Linked DNA regions of Xenopus tropicalis. Each later gene encodes a partner of the first gene's protein in a complex. Links are inferred from orthologs where the notes say so. Each region holds a gene or a part of one and is shown in the gene's direction. Other genes may lie near its edges.

The links. The genes of interacting proteins can lie anywhere in the genome.
Region 2: the proteins of src (region 1) and ptpn1 are in contact, whole or in part, in a crystal structure (PDB 3ZMQ), measured with the Homo sapiens proteins. The link is inferred for Xenopus tropicalis from reciprocal best matches to the Homo sapiens genes SRC and PTPN1. Residues at the interface, in NP_005408.1 of Homo sapiens: Glu527, Gln529, Tyr530, Gln531, Pro532; in NP_002818.1 of Homo sapiens: Arg45, Tyr46, Arg47, Asp48, Val49, Asp181, Phe182, Ser216, Ala217, Gly218, Ile219, Gly220, Arg221, Ser222, Gln262.

What each region holds. Positions count from the first base shown.
Region 1 is NC_030686.2:39,477,093-39,481,229, reverse strand, and holds the start of src (proto-oncogene tyrosine-protein kinase Src), read left to right. Parts: upstream 1-1,290; 5' UTR 1,291-1,452; intron 1,453-1,583; exon of another isoform or gene 1,584-1,659; coding exon of another isoform or gene 1,660-1,668; intron 1,669-4,137. UniProt on the Homo sapiens protein: Non-receptor protein tyrosine kinase which is activated following engagement of many different classes of cellular receptors including immune response receptors, integrins and other adhesion receptors, receptor protein tyrosine kinases, G protein-coupled receptors as well as cytokine receptors.
Region 2 is NC_030686.2:35,908,165-35,912,200, reverse strand, and holds the start of ptpn1 (tyrosine-protein phosphatase non-receptor type 1), read left to right. Parts: upstream 1-1,221; 5' UTR 1,222-1,318; coding exon 1,319-1,387; intron 1,388-4,036. UniProt on the Homo sapiens protein: Tyrosine-protein phosphatase which acts as a regulator of endoplasmic reticulum unfolded protein response. Mediates dephosphorylation of EIF2AK3/PERK; inactivating the protein kinase activity of EIF2AK3/PERK.

The sequences.
Region 1 (4,137 bases):
GGTGTATGGGGAGAAGTACTAGAGGGGTGGGTGCTGGGTGTATGGGTAGAAGTACTAGAGAGGTGGGTGCTGGGTGTATGGGGAGAAGTACTAGAGAGGTGGGTGCTGGGTGTATGGGGAGAAGTACTAGAGGGGTGGGTGCTGGGTGTATGGGGAGAAGTACTAGAGGGGTGGGTGCTGGGTGTATGGGGAGAAGTACTAGAGAGGTGGGTGCTGGGTGTATGGGAAGAAGTACTAGAGGGGTGGGTGCTGGGTGTATGGGGAGAAGTACTAGAGAGGTGGGTGCTGGGTGTATGGGGAGAAGTACTAGAGGGGTGGGTGCTGGGTGTATGGGGAGAAGTACTAGAGGGGTGGGTGCTGGGTGTATGGGGAGAAGTACTAGAGAGGTGGGTGCTGGGTGTATGGGGAGAAGTAATAGAGGGGTGGGTGCTGGGTGTATGGGGAGAAGTACTAGAGGGGTGGGCGCTTTATAAATAAATGTTAATGTAATGCTGGGTGTATGGGGAGAAGTACTAGAGAGGTGGGTGCTGGGTGTATGGGGAGAAGTACTAGAGGGGTGGGCGCTTTATAAATAAATGTTAATGTAATGCTGGGTGTATGGGGAGAAGTACTAGAGGGGTGGGTGCTGGGTGTATGGGGAGAAGTACTAGAGGGGTGGGTGCTGGGTGTATGGGGAGAAGTACTAGAGGGGTGGGTGCTGGGTGTATGGGGAGAAGTACTAGAGGGGTGGGTGCTGGGTGTATGGGGAGAAGTACTAGAGGGGTGGGTGCTGGGTGTATGGGGAGAAGTACTAGAGGGGTGGGTGCTGGGTGTATGGGGAGAAGTACTAGAGGGGTGGGTGCTGGGTGTATGGGGAGAAGTACTAGAGGGGTGGGTGCTGGGTGTATGGGGAGAAGTATAGGGTTGTGTAATTCCTCTAGTTGAGTGAATCAGTCGGTGCGACTCACCAGGGAAGAATGAGAGAAAGGAAGACAAGGGAAGCCAGGCTAGCTCTGGGAGGGGAGGAGGAGAGAGGGGGAAGTGTTGGGATTAGAGGTGGGATCTGAGAGGGGAATAATGCAAATGAAAGGGGAAGGACAAAGGGGAAAGACAAAAAGGGACAGGCCGAATTAATAAGCGCCCCGGACTGTGGTGAGAGAGCAGGCTGGGTGTCACTGGGGCAGTACAGAGACCCCCCAACGGGAGTGACAGGCTGGGCCAGGGCTGATTCAGTGGGAGGAGGGACAGGCGGACCCGGGGGAGGGCAGCACAGGCGGAGGGGAGGAGGGAGCTGGAGCCGGCCGGGCGTGAACCGTACGCTGAGTAGATCCCCAAACTTCCCGGCCCAGGAGGAATCTGATGTGTGGGGAGAGGCACCGGGAGATAGTGGGTACGAGAAGAGCGCTCTTGCCCCCCTCTGTGTGAGGGGGGTTCCCGGAGAGTGGAATCTCCCGATATCTCAGGCAGGACAAGGTAAGTAGTGGCTGCACCGTGCCGCTAGGGGGCGTAGGATAGTACCACGGGTGCAGAGAATGGGGGCGCTATAGGCTGCTTGGGAATGGTGTATGTAACGCCTTTGGGGGTATTTGGAGCACTGCTACCATATGGGCCTTTAAATCTCACTCTGGCCCGGTATTCGGTGGGTATGCCTGTGTATATGTTGTGCACACAGGCCCTTTAATGGTCAGGGTAAGTGCAGCATGTTTCCTGCGAACATCAGGGGTTAAACTTCTGGGCCAATAAGCTAGCGTACATTTAACACATGATTTTGAGATGGGGGCATGCTGGGAGTCACTGGGCAAGTCTGGAGTTGAGAGAATATTGGGGAGTGAAGGGGCTAGTTAGCAATATTGGGTGTGCTGGGCATGGATGGGGGGAATTCTATAGTATACAGGGCATGTATGGGGGAATGCTATAGTATACAGGGCATGTATGGGGGGAATGCTATAGTATACAGGGCATGTATGGGGGGAATGCTATAGTATACAGGGCATGTATGGGGGGAATGCTATAGTATACAGGGCATGTATGGGGGGAATGCTATAGTATACAGGGCATGTATGGGGGGAATGCTATAGTATACAGGGCATGTATGGGGGGAATGCTATAGTATACAGGGCATGTATGGGGGGAATGCTATAGTATACAGGGCATGTATGGGGGGAATGCTATAGTATACAGGGCATGTATGGGGGGAATGCAGGAGGGTACAGGGCATGTATGGGGGAATGCAGGAGGGTACAGGGCATGTATGGGGGAATGCAGGAGGGTACAGGGTGTGTGTGGGTAAATGGTACAGGGAGTAAAGGATGGCTGGAGAGTACAGGGCATGCATGGAGGAGTGGTGAAGGGTACAAGGCGTGCATGGTGGGTTATCATAGATTGTACACTTGTGAGTCCTCTCTATAATAAACCAAAGGCCATCCTGCTACTGGTTGAAGTTGAGAGTTAAAATTCAACCCAGCTCTATAGGTATGGGTAGTTCTGGGGAGCAAAACTATGCTATGTACCTGTGTATGTATGTGGAACAATTCTGCATATAAACACACACAATGGTCAAACAGCTACTATGGCAGTGGGTTGCACAATTATTATAGTTTATATCTAAATTTAGATTGGTATTAAATGTCATACAGAGCTGGCAGCATTGTTTTTTTTTTTAACTATGTGATTGCTACAATTAGCAAATGGCAAGGGTAAATGTTTATGAATGTACTCAAGCAAATGGGTATCCCTCCCCCTTTTAACCATTTGCTGTGCAGCTTTTAAAGCAGGAGGCTTTAGGGCCATGATCATAACTTTCCAATGTCGCCTTGTTAGTGCCAGGTTGTAGGTAAAGGGCTAAGGGTGCTAGGTTATACGTAGGATGCACCAAACCCACTATTTTCAGATTCCGTCAAACTCAGTGTCCTTCGTAAAGGATTCGGCCAAATACCAAGCATATGTAAATTAGGATAGGGAAGGGTTAAAGCGAGCCTCGTGCGCAGGTTGCGCTGAAAAAATTTCAACTTCTGTGTTTATATGACAAAAAGGCACATGATTTTTAGTGTTCTGATTCAATTCAGTGCATCCCTAGCTGTAGGTATAGGTACATGAGTGCCAAGCAGTGGGTACAGTGGTATATGTGCCAGGCTTTAGATAAAGGAAGGGGCTGTTTACCAGGCTGTAGGTATAGGTACATAAGTGCCAAGCAGCGGGTACAGTGGTATATGTGCCAGGCTGTAGGTATAGGTACATAAGGGCCAAGCAACAGGTACAGTGATATATGTGCCAGGCTGTAGGTATAGGTACATAAGTGCCAAGCAGTGGGTACAGTGGTATATGTGCCAGGCTGTAGGTATAGGTACATAAGGGCCAAGCAACAGGTACAGTGATATATGTGCCAGGCTGAAGGTATAGGTACATAAGTGCCAAGCAGCGGGTACAGTAGTATATGTGCCAGGCTGTAGGTATAGGTACATAAGGGCCAAGCAGCAGGTACAGTGGTATATGTGCCAGGCTGAAGGTATAGGTACATAAGTGCCAAGCAGCGGGTACAGTGGTATATGTGCCAGGCTGAAGGTATAGGTACATAAGTGCCAAGCAGCGGGTACAGTGGTATATGTGCCAGGCTATAGGTATAGGTACATAAGTGCCAAGCAGTGGGTACAGTGGTATATGTGCCAGGCTGTAGGTATATGTATGTGAGTTCTCAAGCTCTGAGTACAATGATACATGTGCCAGGCTGTAGTCAAAGAGGTATATTTGCTACACTGTATGTAAAGGGCTATATGTACCAGACTGTTGGTACAAGTGAAAGGCTTCTGATACAGGGGTATGTATGCTAGGTTGTTGGGAAGGGCCTATGTAGCTAGGCTGGGTAAAGGGCAACGTGTGCCAGGCTTTGTTATCATCGGCTTATCAAATATACTGACACATGAATGTATCTTAGCAAATAACCTTTAGATAAAATCAGCAGGTCTTTTCAACCAAAAATTTATGCTCTGGCCTCCCTCTAGTGCAAAGCTACAACTCCCGAGGGTGATGGGAGTTGTAGTTTTGTACTAGGTGGAGGCTACAGTTGCCTTAGAGCCAGCTAAATCCCAGCTCACCTTCACACGTGCCTCAATCCCTGTTGAGTCTATCAGAATGCAATCTGGAGTGTACTCCCCTCTCTCA
Region 2 (4,036 bases), about 3.6 Mb from region 1:
TATGGGAGGGAGGTGCCATATTGTTTCCCTTAGACAGTACAGTATGAGGGTACAGCTTATTGTGTGCCCAGAACATTCCTTCTCTGTATATTTGTATTTATACATATGGGAGGGAGGTGCCATATTGTTTCCCTTAGACAGTACAGTATGAGGGTACAGCTTATTGTGTGCCCAGAACATTCTTTCTCTGTATATTTGTATTTATACATATGGGAGAGAGGTGCCATAGTGTTTCCCTTAGACAGTACAGTATGAGGGTACAGCTTATTGTGTGCCCAGAACATTCCTTCTCTGTACTTGCAGGCAGGGAAGTAGTGAATAAAACTGATCACAAGAGGATGGAATGTATCATGACTCTGCACACAAGCTAAATTTCCATATTATCTCCACTCGAAAATGCAACTTTCCACAGGGAAGAGAGGCTACTGCCAAACATTGGTTTGCTGCAGTGTATTGTGGGCAGGGTTGCCAGATTTATTTTTCCAAACTAGGCAAAGTCAGTTCTTAAACCAGCCCAAAACTAGCCAAAAGCCACTTTGAAAGAAGCCCAAAAATAGCCTAATATGCTTAATGAAAAAAATGTCTAAAAAACATGCCTTTTTTAAAGCATATAATCACTTCCCGTGCCCTGCATAGGTACTAGGATGACTGGTTCCCTGCTCTCTGTGCCCAGTCTATGCAGGTTATAGTAGTTTTGAGGCTTCAGGTTCAGTACAGAGGAACAGAAAAGGGAGCTTCTGTCTATAATTGCATGCTGGGTATTGTAGTTTTATATTAACCTTACCTGTAGGCTAATAGTAAGATCCAAACTACATTACCCAGCATGCACTGGGATAGGCATGTCAGAAATAAAACTTTGGCTAGTTTCCAAACTACAAACCCGCCAAAGCTTCCAAAACTAGGCCACATTTGGTTTATACTTTGGAAACCCGCCTGGGCTTTCAATTAGTAGCCCAATTTAACGGAATACCCGCCAACCTGGCAACCCTGCTTGGCACAGGGAAAAGAGGCTACTGCCGAACATTGGTTCGCCGCGGTGTATTGTGGGATTATACTCGCACCGCTGCCAACTCCATTGGGGAACGCTGCCGCTTCCGGGTCTGCCCCTCCCCTGAGCCTCGTTCACTCATTGGTTCCCGGGAAGAAGCGGAAGTGACGCCAAAGTTCCCAGCTGGGGAAGGAGGTGGGAGTGCGCGCTTCCGGCTGCGTGCAGTTGTGTCAGGCAGCGGGAGGAGGAGGAGGAGGAGGAGGAGGAAGAGGAGAGAGAGAGAGAGGCAGTCACACACCCCGGAGAGCTTACACAGGCGAAGTCTCGGCCATGGATATGGATATGGAGAAGGAGTTTCATGAGGCTGATAGGAAGAACAGCTGGGGGTCTAACTATCAGGTGAGAGCGGCTCTCTGGCTTCCGGGCCCTGACTCTCTGCATGGGGGGGGGGGCATCCTGGGGGCTTATAGCCGGCTGCTTGGGGCTAATCGTGTTGCCTGTCAGGCACGTAACTCCCTTCTAGCGGAATTCCTGCATGTGTGATAGCCTCTGTGCCCTATGGGAATGTACTGACTGCATATACATTACTGTCTGTATAATATATATATATATATGGCTATACCCTCTGTGCCCTATGGGAATGTACTGACTGCATATACATTACTGTCTGTATAATATATATATATATATGGCTATACCCTCTGTGCCCTATGGGAATGTACTGACTGCATATACATTACTGTCTGTATAATATATATATATATATATATATGGCTATACCCTCTGTGCCCTATGGGAATGTACTGACTGCATATACATTACTGTCTGTATAATATATATATATATATATATATATGGCTATACCCTCTGTGCCCTATGGGAATGTACTGACTGCATATACATTACTGTCTGTATAATATATATATATATATATATATATATATATATATATATATATATATATATATATATATATATATAATATGGCTATACCCTCTGTGCCCTATGGGAATGTACTGACTGCATATACATTACTGTCTGTATAATATATATATATATATATGGCTATACCCTCTGTGCCCTATGGGAATGTACTGACTGCATATACATTACTGTCTGTATAATATATATATATATATATATATATATATGGCTATACCCTCTGTGCACTATGGGAATGTACTGTCTGCATATACATTACTGTCTGTATAATATATATATATATATGGCTATATACAGTATACAAGGCTGATATACACAGGCACAAAGCCATGCACGTTTACAGGCAGATTTATCAAATATTCATCATGTTTTTGAATATCGAGGTGCTTTATTATCGGCTTTTGGTATTTAGCATTTGTCTCTCATTGTGCAAAGTTTATACTTTAATGGTAACGGTGATCAAGAATTCTCCAGCAAATTGTGTAATAGGAAGATAAACCCTCTCTGCACATTGGTGTCAATGGCTTTCAGCAGGTTTCAGTTCATGAATGGTTTAGAAATAACCCTTGAGAATAATGATATTGGCCTATGTTTCTTGTGTAGAATTTGCGATTTATACTTATACACAGATATATAATATTTATATCATTTGTGTGTTGGTATATGTATAAAGACAAATAGCCAGGAGCAGCACTTCCTGTAATGTATTTAATATATATTGTACTTGTGTCCAACTTCTTGGTCCTTGTTAGGACCTTCCTATGAATATATACACCCAACCTGTGGCCCCAGACCTGGGTGTCATTCTGTATATGATTAAGCCTGAATACAATCAATTTATAGTTTATAATTAGTACAGGTATGGGACCCGTTATCCAGAATGCTCGGGACCCGGGTTTTTCCGGATAAGAGGTCTTTCTGTAATTTGTATCTCCTACCTTAAGTCTGCTAATAAAGTTATTTAAACAGTAATTAAACCCAATAGGATTGTTTGGCTCCAATAAGGATTAATTATATTTTAGTTGGGATCAAGTACAGGTACTGTTTTATTATTACAGAGAAAAGGGAATCATTTAACCATTAAATAAACCCAATAGGGCTGTTCTGCCCCCAATAAGGGGTAATTATATCTTAGTTGGGATCAAGTACAGGTACTGTTTTATTATTACAGAGAAAAGGGAATCATTTAACCATGAATTAAACCCAATAGGACTGTTCTGCCCCATTAAGGGGTAATTATATCTTAGTTGGGATCAAGTACAAGGTACTGTTTTATTATTACAGAGAAAAAGGAACCATTTTTAAAAATGCAAATTATTTGGTTAAAATGGAGTCTATGGGAAATGGACTTTCTGTAATTCGGAACTGTCTGGATAATGGGTTTCCGGATAAGAGGTCCGATACCTGGCTAACGCAGGAAAGACTTGCCATGCTTAACAAGCCATTTCTGCAGGTGAAATGTGTTTATTTCCTTTCATTGCAGTTATTTCTTCCCTCTTATGGGGTAGAAATCCCAGCATTTTAGTTCAGAGAAGCTTAATAACAATGCTGTTGTTTATTCTAACTTCTAATAATAGTTTTATTTTCCGCTCCTTGGTTCAGCTGAATGTTTGTGCATTCAGGCCCAGAGTATGTACAGTGCCTGTTTCTCTGTACTGTAAGTAAATGGCTGCATGTAACACAGGGCATTCTCACATCTCACTTCCCGTTTTTATTCGTGGGAAATGCCACCTTTCATACCCTGGCATGATTATTGCACAGTTTGGGAATCTGCGTATGCTGTATACTGTCTATCTAATGAACAAATCAAGAGTTACATTTCTGCCTTCTGGGAGACGAATTATAAAATAATACATTGTATCAAGAGTGTCTGTCTTTGCTTGAGTTTATTTAATACACTGAGCAGGGTTGTTGCATTATTGTGATTTTACTCCCAGGCAGTGGTCTCGCTGTGCCGCTTAGCAGAGAACTGTGCTGGTTTAATGATAGGGCTTCTGGACGTCTAATGACAGGTTAATGTCCATCCCCAAAACACTGGCTGCATTACCCTGATTGTATATCCTTGTCAGGTTTGAATTCTTTATTTTAACCTCTTCCTTGTCTGTG